Nothobranchius furzeri: one gene and its partner. The protein of the gene in region 2 binds, or shares a complex with, the protein of the main gene of each other region. Links are inferred from orthologs where the notes say so. Each region holds a gene or a part of one and is shown on either strand. Other genes may lie near its edges.

Region 1 (7,110 bases), on a different chromosome or scaffold from region 2:
GCCTGCCTGAGCCTCCACCACTGAAGAAGAAGCCCTTCAGCAGCCGGCTTCTTCTACACTCTCTGCCTGAAACGCATGAGTGAAGATGGACATGAGGACGTTTTTTAGACCAAAAGTACAACGACAGAACCCCAGCTTTGATGAGACTGGTGCTGACTCAGGTTTGTGAGTCTTATTTGAAAATATTTGTTGTGCTGCTGGTTTGCCTAAAGTTAGCTTACTATCAGGTAAAGTTGTTGGAGAAAGAAAGGCAATATTTACTATCATCTCACACTAAACACTAACAGGAACAATACTCTGCCCTGAAAATGCTTAATATGTAGCTTCAGATGAATAATTATGTGGTACAAGACATATATATATGACGTTGACTAGTGCGTGTCACGTGTGTGTGCGCACGCGCGTGTGTGTGTTAAAAGCCCCGGATCTTCTTCAGTCCTAAATCCGCCCCTGCTGACACCCTTTGATCTTCGGAAAGGTTCACACTGAGCATGTGACAGAGTCTGGAGACACGGTGGCAAACATTCTGCTGCCAGCAACATCCTGCAGCATGTCCAGTTTGAGAGTGGGTCAGTAGTGTGAGGTGACATTTCTTTGGAGGCTACACAGCCCTTCATGTGCTCGCCAGAGGTAGCCTGACTGCCATTTGGTATTGAGGTGAGATCCTCAGACCCCTCGTGAGACCATATGCTGGTGCGGTTGGCCCTGGGTTCCTCCTAATGCAAGACAAAAGCTGTGTTTCCATTACCAAAACTCAAGGGTAATTCCTGAGATGGGGAAACTGACCAGGCGATAGGATGTCCCAGTACACACAGCTGTTGTCTCCATTCAAATTCAGCCCTTTCAAAACTTTGCACAGACGTCAGCATATCACGACTGCTTTGGCAGTGAGCAATGTCGCCAAAAAGCGTCCGCAGTAACAATAACATTACAAGCCTTTATTCTATTGAAGTATATAAAAAATGCATCCACTCTGAGGATGAGAGCAGCTGTGTGACGTAAAATGTGGTGTTCAATGACCAGAAGAAGTGTCATATTTTACAGCGCTCTGTGAGACAACAAAGCCTCGTTGATTGCGGGGGGAATTCCACCATGTTTTATGGTGTCAGGAGTTAGATTTTAAGCACGATCGACGCTTATTTTCCTATGCTTCCATTCTGCTTCACCAGCAACTCTCCTAATTTTACCAGCCTGCTGATGTCATTTCCAACTGGGTTTCAACCAATCAGTATGAGGTAACCAGAGGTTTCGCTCAGCTGCTCCACCAGGCCGTTCGGAGTACTTACCCCTGATCAGTTACTCAGAAGGTTCCTGAAAACGGCCTGGTCAAGTGGAGACACGTGCATGTCAGGAGGTTCCTGTAAATCTACCCTGAAGTTCTGGTAATGGAAACCTAGTTGTTGATGCCATGGACTGGCCTGTCCATTACCCAGACCTGAATGCAACTGAGCGCATGTGGGACAGCACGTATGCCACGTTGCACCAGATTGTCCAGGATTTGGCGGATGTTTTAGTTCAGAACTAGGAGATCACTCAGGAGACCATCCACCACCTCAAGAGCATACCCAGGTGATGTAGGGAGGTCATACAGACGCATGGAGGCCAGACACACTACCAAGCCTCATTCTGACTGGTTTGAAGGACATTGGGTGACGGTAGATCAGGAGTTAAGTGCTCGCCCTGTAATTGGAAGGTTGCAGGATCGAGCCCCCTCAGTCTGTCACTGTTGTGTCCTTGGGCAAGACACTTAACCCCCCTTGCCTGCTGGTGGTGGTCAGAGGGACCGGTGGCGCCTGTGCTTGGCAGCCTCGCCTCAGTCAGTGTGCCCCAGGGCAGCTGTGGCTACATCGTAGGTAATCCCCACCTGCGTTTGAATGTGTGAATGACTGATTGTGTCGTAAAGCACCTAGGGGGGCTCCAGAATAGTGATGTGTCGGTCGCGAATGAACCGGCTCTTTGAAGTGAACGACGGGAGCCGGCTCGTCCCCTACCCCCTCGCCCCCTGCCTTGGTGAAAGCTACAGGCGATTGGTCAACATGTGGAACTGTGTGTCCAGACCGTCCACACACAGAGCAGTAGGGGCGGGGAAGAGGGAGGATCAGACTCAGACACACAGCAGAGCACATGCGGGTGGAGGTAGACGAGAGGGAATGAGGAGGAGGGAAAAGGCGAGCGAGAGAGAGGAGAGTGCGACGAAGACGGTGAGAAAATGAGCGCCAGCAGTCGGAAAGTGGAGATTTCTTAAAGTGTTCAGTTATTAAATCCATAGAAATTATAAACAATTGATATATTGCTTTTTTTACATTAGTAAATTATTTTACATATAGTTTAGCATTATTTTGGTTATAAATGTACTCTACGCAACAGAAAATCTGAGGAGCCACTTGGGAGCCGGCTCTTTTTGGTGAGCTGAGCCAAAAGAACCGGCTCTCTAAAAAGAGCTGGAATTCCCATCACTATTCTAGAAGGCACTATATCAAATACAGGGCATTTACATTATATCAAAGGTGGATTTGCCTGTAGTGTGTATCAACTTTACTTTTGAGTGTGACCTTCTTGGGTTGATAAATTTGATTTCCATTGATCATTTTTGTGTGATTGTGCTGTTAGCACATTCAGCTATGTAAACAATAAAGTATTTATTATGAGTATTTAAAGCAAACATGGAACACTGACCTATAAAAACACTTCTTTATTGCTTAAAGAATACAACTTTGTAGAATAACAAATGACTGTTTCACAACTTGTTTTTTTTTAACGCTGAGGGCTGACCAAAGTCACAATAAAGATATTTAGATACTGCTCCAGAGGAAAATGGAAATCATTTCAGCCTGAACACAAAAGCATCTCACAAGGTTCCTCACATCATTTACACTGATCTGGAGTCAGCAGTAAGTATCACGGTAGCACCTACACTTTTAAAAACAAAGTCTGAGCAGTAAGTCTGTCCTCCATCTTTGGTTCTATGAGATAAAAGTTTAATTTGCTCAACTTTGCAGCTAATTACCAATACTGTGGGCGGTTCTAAGGAAGAACAAAATGACAAATATCAGAACAAGCTAAAATAAAAAAAAAAGGTCTATTTATTTCTCTACATAACGAAACAAATTCAATATTCACAATGCCTCAAACAAATTCACTGTCTGAACAAAAATGCTAAGGGAGAAAACAAAATCTTTCCTGTAAAAGTGACCACCAATAATCAAATAAAGAGAAACGAGTTCATCTAAACCACCGACTGAGGACTGGGCGTCTGTGATGTACCTGAAGGAGCAGAGACTTGACGCTTGAGTCGCTGACGCGTCCCAGTATCTGCTCTCAGTGTGTTCACAACTACAAATCCAATCACAACAGAACATCAAAGAGCTCATTTCACATAAGTAACTTATATGGGGAACATAAGGTTAACACAAAACTCAGCCATTCAATCCAAATCGTTTCCAGGAACTAGGATCTGGATGGGGCCCATTCCTCTTTCACTGTTCTCTTCAAATGTGCTTATTTTCAGCGCTCAAAGACGTCTCCGCCAACGAGAACGCTGGAAGATACGTGTGCCAGCAGTGTCCCAGGACAAAGTCCGAACATGTACCCACATCCGGAGTTCACAGGTCATCCTCCTCATCTTCATCCTGAGAGGAACCAGCCTGCTGGGCTGCACTGGCAGATGCGGCCGCCATCTGTGCCTGCTGGGCAGCCTGCTGCACCTGCAACCACTCCTGCTGGGCGAGTTCTGCCTGTTGTTGCCGGGCCTGCAGCCACGCGGCCCACAGAACCAGAGAGAAGCAAGAAGAGCTTTTTATTTTTCCTGAGGACTGTGCATACGTAAAGCCATCAAAGAGATGTTTTACATGACATAACGATCAGTTAGAACATTTTATAACTAAAATGAAACCACATTTCAGTGTTTACTTTAAAGCAAAGCTTAGGTAAAGGTGTAAATTTGCAGAATGTTTAAGTTTAGTTACTGGTCAGATTTAGTAAAAATAAATGAATGAACAGCAGCAACAGAAACTCCATGTTCATTCATAAAGATTCATACAGAACATGGTGTGCTGATCGAGGGCCATTATGGGAGTGGAAACCTCTGATAGTCAAAAGTTAGTGTCAGCAACTTATTAAAATCCTTTGAGATAATATTAGGCGCAGTGAAACAGCAATATTGATCAATATCGTGCAGGCCTATATTTCAGCTTTTAGTTAGGATTTTTTTTTTCTTTATACAGAAAAACAAATCAGGAAAAGCAATAATTTTCCATCTATCCATCTATTTTCAGCCGCTTATCTGGATTCGGGTTGCGGGGGCAGCAGCCTAAGCAGAGAGGCCCAGACTTCCTTCTCCCCAGCTCCTCCAGGGGAATCCCAAGGCGTTCCCTGGCCAGCTGAGAGACATAGTCCCTCCAGCGTGCCCTGGGTCTTCCTCTGGGTCTCCTCCCAGTTGGATGTGCCTGGAAAACCTGACCAGGGAGGCAGCCAGGAGGCACCCTAACCAGATACCCGAACCAACTCAACTGCTTCTCTCAACGTGGATGAGCAGAGGATCTACGCCGAGCCCCTCCCGAATGACCGAGCTTCTCACCCTATCTCTAAGGGACAGTCCAGCCACTCTGCGGAGAAAACTCATTTTGGCTGCTTGTATTCGCGATCTCATTCTTTTGGTCACTAACCAAAGCTTGTGACCATAGGTGAGGGTAGGAACATAGATCAATTGGTAAACTGAGAGCTTTGCCTTCCAGCTCAGCTCTATCTTCACCACAACAGACTGGTATAGCGCCCGCATCACTGCGGATGCAGCACCAATCCACCAGTCGATCTCGCTCCATGTTTCCCTCACTCGTGAACAAGACCCCAAGATACTCAAACTCCTCCACTTGGGGCAGGACCTCATCCCTGACCTGGAGAAGGCAGTAGAGTTGTCAAAAAAATCAATACCCAGATATAAATCGATGCTAAAAGTGGTATCTAAATTAGATATTCCATCCCTGTGGTATCGATATTATGGACTATTATACACAGCCTTCTTCAAGTACACCGACACGCACGACAGCCAGATGCCGTAAAGCAGCCTCCGCCTCCCAGACAAACAGAAGAAGAAGACGCCGCATTGCTACATTGCAATTTCCCACGCGAGTTGTCTCCGATCCAAGTTTTGTCTGCCAAAAAAAATAAACAAAAACAGCGAATTTGGGAGGCGCTTCACAGCCCAACTTAATTAGCATACCAAGTCCGACAAGTAGTTGTATATTCACGCTTATGTGCTTAAAGGAAACTCCCGTTTATTGCAACCCGGACTTAATTTCTAGCATGCAGTACGTTTGTTTACTCATGCTGACAACTTTGGTGCTACTTGGATTCCCCGGGGTATTTACCGTAGATCCATCGGCGAATCGCCGTCAGTGTATATCCGTATAACGGGTGCGGACGGGCACCCATGGTGCAGCCTCGAAATAAGACATTATCTGCACCAAAACATCTCAATGTCGAAAGGTTTTGTTAGGAATCATTAACGTGATTCCCCTGTTCGTTTGGAGCGGGTCTGGGATTTCTAGGCGTAAACAGACTAGCCGCGGCTAATCTAACCGGCGCTTTTAATGACGTCACTGCCGTGCGCTGGTCTGTTTTTATTAAGATTACCGGTAGATGTACCTTTGTCCTACTGAGGAGAAATTAGTTTTCTCCCTTTATTGACCAACAGAGTTGTTCAAAAGTACAGAACAAAACATATGGCATTACATCTTATGACAAAAATGCACCTTAAACAGAGTTTAAGCAGCAAAACATCACTCTGCAAATAGTGTATATATAGTGGGACAATTCATGATTTAAAGTGTTAACTTTCACCAGTTTTTGTATGCACGTTTAAAAAAATGCTGATACTTGAAAGGTTTAAGCACTTTACACACTTAATTCTTAACATTTAACTTTTGCAATATAAATTGAGGAATGTTATTTTTTGAATAAACTTGTTCAATAAATTGGTGTTTTTAAATAGTATCGAAATCGAGTACCGAGTTTTTTCCCAGTATCGAATCGAGTTTGAAATTTTAGTATCGTGACAACCCTAGAAGGCAGCACAATGACTTTTAATCTTTAAAAAGGCTAAACGTGAATAACATCAGCAATGAACTAAATCATCTGCTTCACTCTAATAATAACAGTATTTTTGTAACTTTGCACTTTGTTGTTCATTTGCGATGTTCACCAGGACGTTTCTTAAATGTTACGATGTGTTATTAATAAAAATGAATATAACTTTGTTGTTTTGTTTATTCTCAGCTATACAGATAAGTTTAAAGTACTAAATAAACACTCAGAGCTCATCCCAGGCCAACGATTACTGATTGGCAAAAGGGAAAACAAGAATGCTCATTCAAAAAGCACAAGCTTCACGCATGAGGACGTTTCACCTTTGCAAACAGTTCCTGTTGTTGTCTGAGGAGCTCCTCTTCCGGGATACCCAAATTCTCCAGTCGAGAACTGGCCTTCCTCCTCTTCAGAGCTACAGTTTTACACTCCTGCAGGACGTCTTTGACCTCCGTGATGTAAGACGCGAAACCGAGGCTCTCGAGGGCTGCGGTGCGAAAACAGGAGGTGAAAGTGCAATCAGTTAGTTTCAGCGGTTAGAACCAGGGAGGATGATACTCTTCCTGGTCTGGGTCGGGACTGACTCACCGTTGATGACATGCTCAGGAGATATGGTCTTTTTGTCGGATTTGTTGCATATTTCGTTGGCTTCCGAGGAAATGAGGTGGATGAACTCCGTGCAACAGTTAACGACGAGCTCCCTGGCGTCGTTGGCCACTCGAACGTTAGGGAGAGTTTCCTTAATCATTTTGTTGATGGCTGCTCTGGGGATGGTGAGGTCGTCGTCGTTCCCAGATGAGGAAGCCATCGTGGCACAAAAATAACTTCCAACTAGTATTAAAATAAAAATAAAAAAACGGAGCTCCGCTTCTTTAGTGTGTGGAAGTTACCAGAATTAACAAATGTCTATCTTCTTGAGTCTTCGGAGTACAAATAATAAAATGATCGGGTTGAGCAGACGTCAACACAAAGTTAATGTCATGAAGAGATGAGACGCTTCCTCAAAAGTTAGCCGGTTGGCTAACGGCT
Region 2 (7,841 bases):
TGCACAGATCATTTTCTTTCTGATCCTCTGGAAGGAAGGATGGTCCTGTCGCTTCAGATGCATCTCTAATCGGTGGGTAAAGTCGGCTACAAAGTTGTAGTCAAAGTAGCTGAGGGGGGTCAGAAATGCCGCCAGATTTGTTGCTAGGCGCTTTTTTGAAAAAAAGTTGTTAAGGGGGTCTGAAAAGTCGTTAGAAATGGCAACAAAGTTGCTAAGTTGGCAACACTGGTCTTCAGCAGTCTCAGAGCTCGTTATTCATGTGGTCTAGATATGGCCAGCTCTGCAGGTGAGGCTTACCTTTATCTGGGCCAGAAGGTTCTTCAGCATGTTGTAAAGCACATCTGGGTCTTTCACCTCCTTCCTACAAAACACACCCATGTTTTAGCAGAAACTCAATTCAGTCAATCAGCCAATATTGACATTCATTAAAATTTCAACCTTAATGTTCTAAATGGTGGAAACAGATTTAAAATCTGACACTAATTATAAAGAGTGACTAGAAAACATTTACTTCTGGTTACTCAGTCTCCTTGTGTGCATCAGATTTATCCCGTCCTTCCATTATAATGCATTCATTACGTACATTAGGGATGTTAATTGGTGAATTATGGCGATACGATACGTACCACCATACAGGAGAGATACAATATATCACAATATTTGCGATACATTCATACGCCATATACATATTTTCTTACATTCCTAATAAACATTCTTATATTATTTAAACAAAAGTTACAAAAGGTGTACCCTCACTGTGCCCCGGGTAATAAACCCAATCCTGGACAAGCGTCACAGGAAATGAGGGAGTCAAACGGCAAGAAGGCCAAAACACATGAAGCCAATGTGATGCACGTTACTACAGTCAATCAATAACGGTGCTTCTGTTGCACAAACATTTTGAACTGATATGCTAAAAATAGCATCACCAATAAATCTGTGGTAACACCATAGTGGTAAACAGCCGTGTTATTGTATAACTAAAGCCACGCTGCATTTTTCACCTGTCACACTGCTTCACGTTGCACTGTGAGGACTCTAGAGGTGGTACACTGTACGGTCCAAGATTTCAGTGAGCACAACATCTCGCTCTGGCAGCATGCTAACAACACAACCACACTCACCAAAAAGCGTACATCACTAAATGCCGACAGATGCCCATGACAACAACAATTAAATGAGAAAAAAAGCATGAGCGTTAACACTTCTTTGTTAAACTCTAACAAACTCCAAAGGAGTGGTCCGCATGCTCCTGAGGGTAGCCTCCACTGTCGCTAATGTTGCTAATGCGACTCTGGCACTGTACGCTCGTCACCAGCTTTTACATGTCACTCCCTGGGTGTATTTTCGTTGGTCGACTGCAGACTGGAGTCACATAGATTTTATGACACTTCTTGAAGACTGTTGGAGGCTGAATTTGGTCGTGGGGGTGCTCAATAAGCTGCGCCGGTCACACGGAATACCAAAGACCTACAGATCACACTCACCCTTTTTTTTGTCAAAACTACGTTCAGAACAACAATGGATTTGTCAACAATGGTGGAAAAACACGGTGTGGCCCAGGTGTAAGACACTGGGGCAATAAGTCAGTCTGGATCCACAGAAACTAAAATCCAAATGTTTTAGATGCGTTTACCCCTTGTCCTTGTTGCTGGGTTTCCAGCCCGTCTCTCCTAGAAGAAACATAAACATTGTTAGTAATGAGAAGATTTTTATTTAAATCACACAAGTCAGAGCATGTCGTCCACTCACTTATTCCCGGGATGCTCTCCATTGGGATCTGCCGAACTCCCTCTTTGAAGCAGGTCAGACCTGGATAAACCTTCCTGATCTGACTCTGTTTTCTCTCAATCAGCTTCTTAATTATCTATAATGTCAGAAATGTTTCAATTTAAAAATACTCGTCGATAAAGCACATAGTTATCTTTTTCCGGCTCTTTGAGAGTACAGACGCTTTTTTCCTCCTCTCCTCCCTACCTTATCCCAAGGCTCTTTGTCTGTCTTTGGGTGTACGGCGCTTCTGCATTTTTACTGGAAACTATTAAAAATGGACCTGGTCAGCTGGTCTCTGAACGCGATTGACAAAATTTTTTCAACGATGACAACGGGAGAAGGGGCTCCCGGGTGCCCCTATGGGACAGATCCAGTTGGGTATATCATGGACTCCTGGAAACAGTGGAACCTGATCTGCCTCTCCCAACTGTCTTTAGAGGATTCTGAAGATGTGTGGATATTCGTGGTGTTGGTGTCGGGTTTCCTGCTTTTTGGCCTGGGAGGTTACCTGGCTTACCGGAAAATTAACGAGCTGTCGAGGAATATTGGCTCAATCCCGGAGCTCAGAGATGGATTACACCGCTCTGTGAATGCTCAGACTCATATAATTGTCGAGATGAGTCGTAAGCTTGGGACTTTGGCTGAGATTCAGACTCTGGCACAGAAGGTGGATTCCATCAAGGAGAAAGTTGATGGGTCAGTGTGGATTGGGATAGTTTTAATTACGCCATTATTGGATTTTGAGAGGTTGAGGACCAACGAAACTTTAAGACAGAGAGGAAATTATCTGTGTCTGGCCCCAAAACAAGTTCTTATCTGAATCTGGTACCCTTGAGCCTGTGAGGCTGAAGTGATTACCCCCCTCAGAAGAAATGTGGAATGCTGCCGTCACCATGGTAACTCTGTCTCCCTATCCCAGCCTGGGTGGGACTGTGACCGGTGAAGGCTGTTGAATCGTTCCAGGAGTCACTGTGCCCTCTAAACCCATCAACCTCCCTCCCGTCCAGACGGAGGTGACGAGCGCTGCTCATCGCGGCTGCATGCACTGACATGTGGAGAGTCCCAACCCACCACCCCACTTAGTGGACACTTATGTTGTGTGTTGTCTGAAGTCTGTTGCATATCTGTCTGAGGTGTTTTTTTTTGCAGAGCAAAGCTGCCCTCCCTGTGGAGGGTAACTCTGAAGTGTCTTCTTTTCCTCCACCTGACCCAATCCTCATATAAATCCTCTGATCTCTATTAAGGTAGCACAACTCGGGTTGCGATTGACCACAGTCACCAATTCTTGTCATGTGTCTTTGCCAATGTATGTCTGATCTCAGAATTGTGTGTACTGAAACTCTTAATTTCCCTCTGGGATTAATAAAGTATCTTTGAACTGAATTGAATTTGAGTTAGAAGGACTCCTTACGCACCTCCTTCTGTCTCTTAATGATGTGTGAAAGTTCCGTGTAGGGAATTCTAGGATTTAGTTCACACTCCATCAAGGTGGCTCCTTCGTAGTCTTTGATGTATCCCAGGTATCGACTCTTGGCCACTTTAATGTCTTTGGAAAAGCCCTGCAACAGATAAAAGAAAACAATTATGAGATATGCACGCAAGAGTGGAGTGAGACAGGTGAGGTGCGTCTGCTGTACCTGCTTCTTGAAGTATCCGATGGCGTACTCGTCAGCGTAAGTGAGGAAGTAAAGGATGTTGTGTTTAATGTGGTACTCCTTCAGGTGGTTCATCAGGTGAGTTCCATAACCCTTAGAGTCACACACACAACAGATTTGTGTCAATAAGAGATGTAAAAACAAAAGATATTAAATAAATGCACAATAACAAGTAGGGATGTGGATCTTAGAGCAACTCTTGATTTGATTCGATTCCGATTCTTGGGGTGCCGATTCGATTCAGAATCGTTTCTCGATTCTCAATTTAAATCGATTCACATTCCGTATCAACAAAGAGTGTCAGCTCCAGGATGAACTACTTTGTTGTACAAGTTAGTTAAAGCTATGGGACATTTTTATTAGACTTCAAACTGGTCGTGCTCCAAAATGCTAATTTACAATGAAAAATAAAGTGATTCTAAAACTGTAAACAGAAACAATCTTATGACAAAAAGGCAACATTTATTTTTGCTTACCTTGTAAAATATAACAAATCTGTAGTTACCTAACAGTAGCTTTAAAAGTAATACGGTCAAATACTTTTCAAGTATGTGTGGAAACAAGTTACATGAGTAATCCTGAGTACTCATTTATCAACTTAGAAAATAAATATGAGAATATCTCAAATTTCTGAGTATGGAAAAAATGACATTCAAGCACCCTCTTATCAGCAGATTCAAACAATTTATGGGAGCACAAAAGTAATCGGAGTACTGACTCTCCTAACAAAGATCAAAAAAGTGCATCTCAAACCTGTAACATGCCAAATATTTGAGTTCTTGGAATCGATACTGAATCTTTATAAATAAGAATCCCGATTCAGACTTGAATGGATTTTTTTCAGCACCTCTAATAACAATCAGCAGGGATCGGTGTGTTCTAATTAAATCCTCACTACCTTGACTTGTTCGTTGGATGTGACGGCACAGAAGACGATCTCTGTGAAGCCCTGGGTTGGAAACATCCTAAAACAGATGCCTCCAATAACACGGCCATCTTTAATGAGAGCCAAGGTTTTGTGCTTCCTGTCGGAACAAAAGTGTCAGCAAAGGCAGCTGCTTTTACACGATGACACACCTGGTGAAAGACTGTCCACTTACGGGTCAAACACCAGCCGAGTGATGTACTCTTTGGGCATACGAGGTAACTGATGGGAGAAGACGTTCTGAAGGCCGACCAGCCACATCAGGATCTTCTTGTTGGACTTCTGGGAAAGAGAGTTTCCGATGACGTGGAACTCTATGATGCCCCGCCTCTCCTCCAGCCTGGCTGTCTCGTCCCGGGCAGCGTTAGGCGTCAGCAAGTTTGTCTTCAAACATAAACAAACTGTTAGAGATACCTTATTACACCTAAGTCTTAGAAACCCATAGCAACTAGTTTTATTAAGGCTGCAAACACACCACACTGAGTCTCTTCCTCCTATGAATTTTCAACTTTTAATTGTGTAAAATGTTAAAATCTTTTCATAGAAACCGACCTTCCTCCCACAACCAATTCACCACATATGCAAATTATACATCACATTAGAGGTTGACCGACACTCATTTCTCTATTGCCAAAACCGGCGCCAATATGTAGGAAACATGGTCAGCTGATGGCCGATATATATTGCAGAACCAGACATTTTCCACCTTATTTTCATGCTAAATTGTCACTTATAACATCAGTAGATGCACAAAATTCCTAGAGCTGAATCAGTGTTTAAACTCTGCACAGCTCAGTGTTAAAGTCAGACACCTAAATAGTTAATGTAGAGCGCTTATTACGTCGGGTTTCCACAGGAGCCGTCAGCAGCATGTTACTGCAGCAGCACGTCTTGCTCGCGTAAACTGCTGCTTGGCCCTTCCCACGAGACGCGAAGCAGCAGGGGAGCAGCCGTCACCGACAGAGCACGAAGTCACACGAGTGACTTCGTCAGTAAACACAACAACAAGCAGGAGAAAACTACAATATGGCTCCAAAATGTTTGTGTTTTATGTTCTGTTCGTTTTATAATCGCCAATACGGACCTGAAAAACAAAGGAGACCGCTAGCTAGGTGATAACTTCTCACGGGGCCTCACAGTTAGTAACTTTTTTTTTAAAGTAAAGCAACCGGAAGGCAGTACGTTCTTTATTCTGAAAATCTCTGGAGCTTCTCTCCATTTCCGCGTCCGATTTCCTGTCTTTCCTTCCCCAAAAATGTTGAACCTGACCCGTTTCAGAGGCGTCGCGCGTAGAAAATAGAACTGGCGCGTAAAGGCCGCGACATGCTGCTCCTGAGACGCGGCCGACTCACGCTGCTGACGGCTCCAGTGGAAAAGGTTCTGTTGACCACAGCGGTTCCTATCAGCAGCTATGACGTGCTGCTGCAGTAACGTGCTGCTGACGGCTCCGGTGGAAAGCCGGGGTTACGCAGATGGTAATGAACGTAAAACTACATTTAAATTAAATTCAGCACCAGGCTGCCCCAGGATGTGCCTGACTTTAAATCGGCTTCACTAACAACAAGTATCGGCCAATGCCAATGTATAAAAACTAGGGCTGTGACTCGTTTAAAAATTTTAATCTAATTAATTAGAGGCTTTGTAATTAATTAATCTAAATTAATCACATTTTTAGAGCGTTTCTGTTTTAACTTAAACTTCTGTTTTCAACTTTAAGACACGTTGTGATTGTTTACAGAGTAGTGAGAACACGGAGCGTTCTCCCAGCGGCAGCCAGGTGCCTCTCGTTTGTCTGACTACTTTTATAAACTACTGTTAGGGCAAAGAATTATTCTATCGATCTCTGAAAAATGTCCGCGACACGGACTCCGTTGTTGTCCGGAAGTTTGTTTTTTTTTCAGTTAAGAAAAGAGGCGGACGGGTTTCCTAAATCCTGCATCAGTCCAAGCAAGGCAACTTCTTTCTGTTTTTATTCCGTTTTAGTAGCCATTAGCACTGTGCATTGTTGTGTGCATCAGTGATATTCGGTCTACGAGAAAATCGTGCAATAACAAAGGTTCCGCCTTTCTCGAAATGCAAGCTGCGATTAAAAGCGTTAATTTTTTTAATGCGTCATTTTTTTCTAATTAATTAATCATAATTAACACATTAAAGTCCCGGCCCTAATAACAACTGTAAATATATGCAAACATATCGATATAGCCGATATATCAAAATGCTGATTTTGTCCTGTCCCCCCACTGTGTCTCTCTCTGCTGCAGGACTGACGGTGTGCCATCAGACTGCAGAGAGACAACATCCGAACTTCCAGGCTTCAGTTGCAGCTCAAAACATCATTGCCCTCCTGACTGGCGGTGAAGGCTGACCTCTGGTCCGAGCATAGCAGCAGGATCTGTGATTGTCATCATGACTTCATTAACCAGCTCCATGGGAATGTCTCCCATCACACGGATCCGCTTGGCATCTTCTAGAGTCAACGCCTCTGGAAGTTTGCGCTTTTCCCCTGGAGAGAGGGAAATAATTCTCTCATCAAAATAATAGGATCAATCCAGCAGAAGTTCCATATTTACATGAAAAGAGTGACTTTATAACACTCAGTTTCACACTGCATCAGTTCTGCAGAAAGGTTTTGACCCATGGATGCAACAGGAGTTCTCCATTTTGCAGCTCCTAGTGACACTCATGATTGTAAAAAGTGTGTAATTCGAAAGTGAGGGAGGCTAATTACAGCAAGTTTAACGTTTAAGCAGAAACATTTACCAAAATGGCCCTTTGAGGTTCTCCATGTAATTAGGTCAGACTGGATGTATGTGATACACAATCCTCTGAACTGACACCTGAGTGACTGAGACACCCGAAGGTCGAGTGTGATTCAGAGTGAAGATGTTGGCGAGCTGACCTATGATGGACTCGACGCCTCCTGTGTCCACGCTGCCTAGAGACGAGCTGCTGCTCAGACATTTGGACAAAGCAGCAGACCCAGAGACCGACGCTGGACTCATCACTGCAATCACAAACATCATCAATTGCAGGCCACTTGTAACCACGACAACAGCAGTGATGGCATCTTTTGTGAGGCATTTCAAGGCCAGACAGACCTGATGCTAAAGTACCAGTTCTCAACAAACACCAAACTCCATGTCTCCACCAGCCGCTGCACACCTGCCTCACCTGTCTGAGGTCCCATCTGAGAGCCGTCCGAAGCAGGAATGGTGAAATCTGCCTCCCAAATGGGCGAATTCTCACCGTAGATTTCCTCCTCCAGCATCGACAAGAACCTGAAATCAGCAGATTCCACTGGAAGTGTGTTTTCATAAAAAGAAATGCAATAGCCACCTAAAGCATCTTATACCCCGCTATATTCCTGTGTTCAAGAGGCTACCACGGGAGGTGAAATCAGTGAAGTGCTGGTCAGAAGATAACATTTCAGCACTCCAAGCGTGTTTTGAGTGTACTGATTGGGACTGCTTCTTTAACTCATCTGGGGA

The links.
Region 1: kat2a (region 2) and dr1 share a complex: the UniProt entries of both Homo sapiens proteins name them as parts of the ADA2A-containing complex. The link is inferred for Nothobranchius furzeri from reciprocal best matches to the Homo sapiens genes KAT2A and DR1.

Annotation. Positions count from the first base shown.
Region 1 is NC_091756.1:58,159,526-58,166,635, forward strand, and holds the end of dr1 (protein Dr1), read right to left. Parts: 5' UTR 6,890-7,110; coding exon 6,670-6,889; intron 6,569-6,669; coding exon 6,405-6,568; intron 3,750-6,404; coding exon 3,603-3,749; 3' UTR 2,678-3,602; downstream 1-2,677. UniProt on the Homo sapiens protein: The association of the DR1/DRAP1 heterodimer with TBP results in a functional repression of both activated and basal transcription of class II genes.
Region 2 is NC_091745.1:16,604,664-16,612,504, forward strand, and holds part of kat2a (histone acetyltransferase KAT2A), read right to left. Parts: intron 7,632-7,841; coding exon 7,525-7,631; intron 7,358-7,524; coding exon 7,253-7,357; intron 6,857-7,252; coding exon 6,720-6,856; intron 4,738-6,719; coding exon 4,529-4,737; intron 4,454-4,528; coding exon 4,327-4,453; intron 3,522-4,326; coding exon 3,411-3,521; intron 3,333-3,410; coding exon 3,189-3,332; intron 1,868-3,188; coding exon 1,753-1,867; intron 1,674-1,752; coding exon 1,637-1,673; intron 362-1,636; coding exon 298-361; intron 1-297. UniProt on the Homo sapiens protein: Protein lysine acyltransferase that can act as a acetyltransferase, glutaryltransferase, succinyltransferase or malonyltransferase, depending on the context.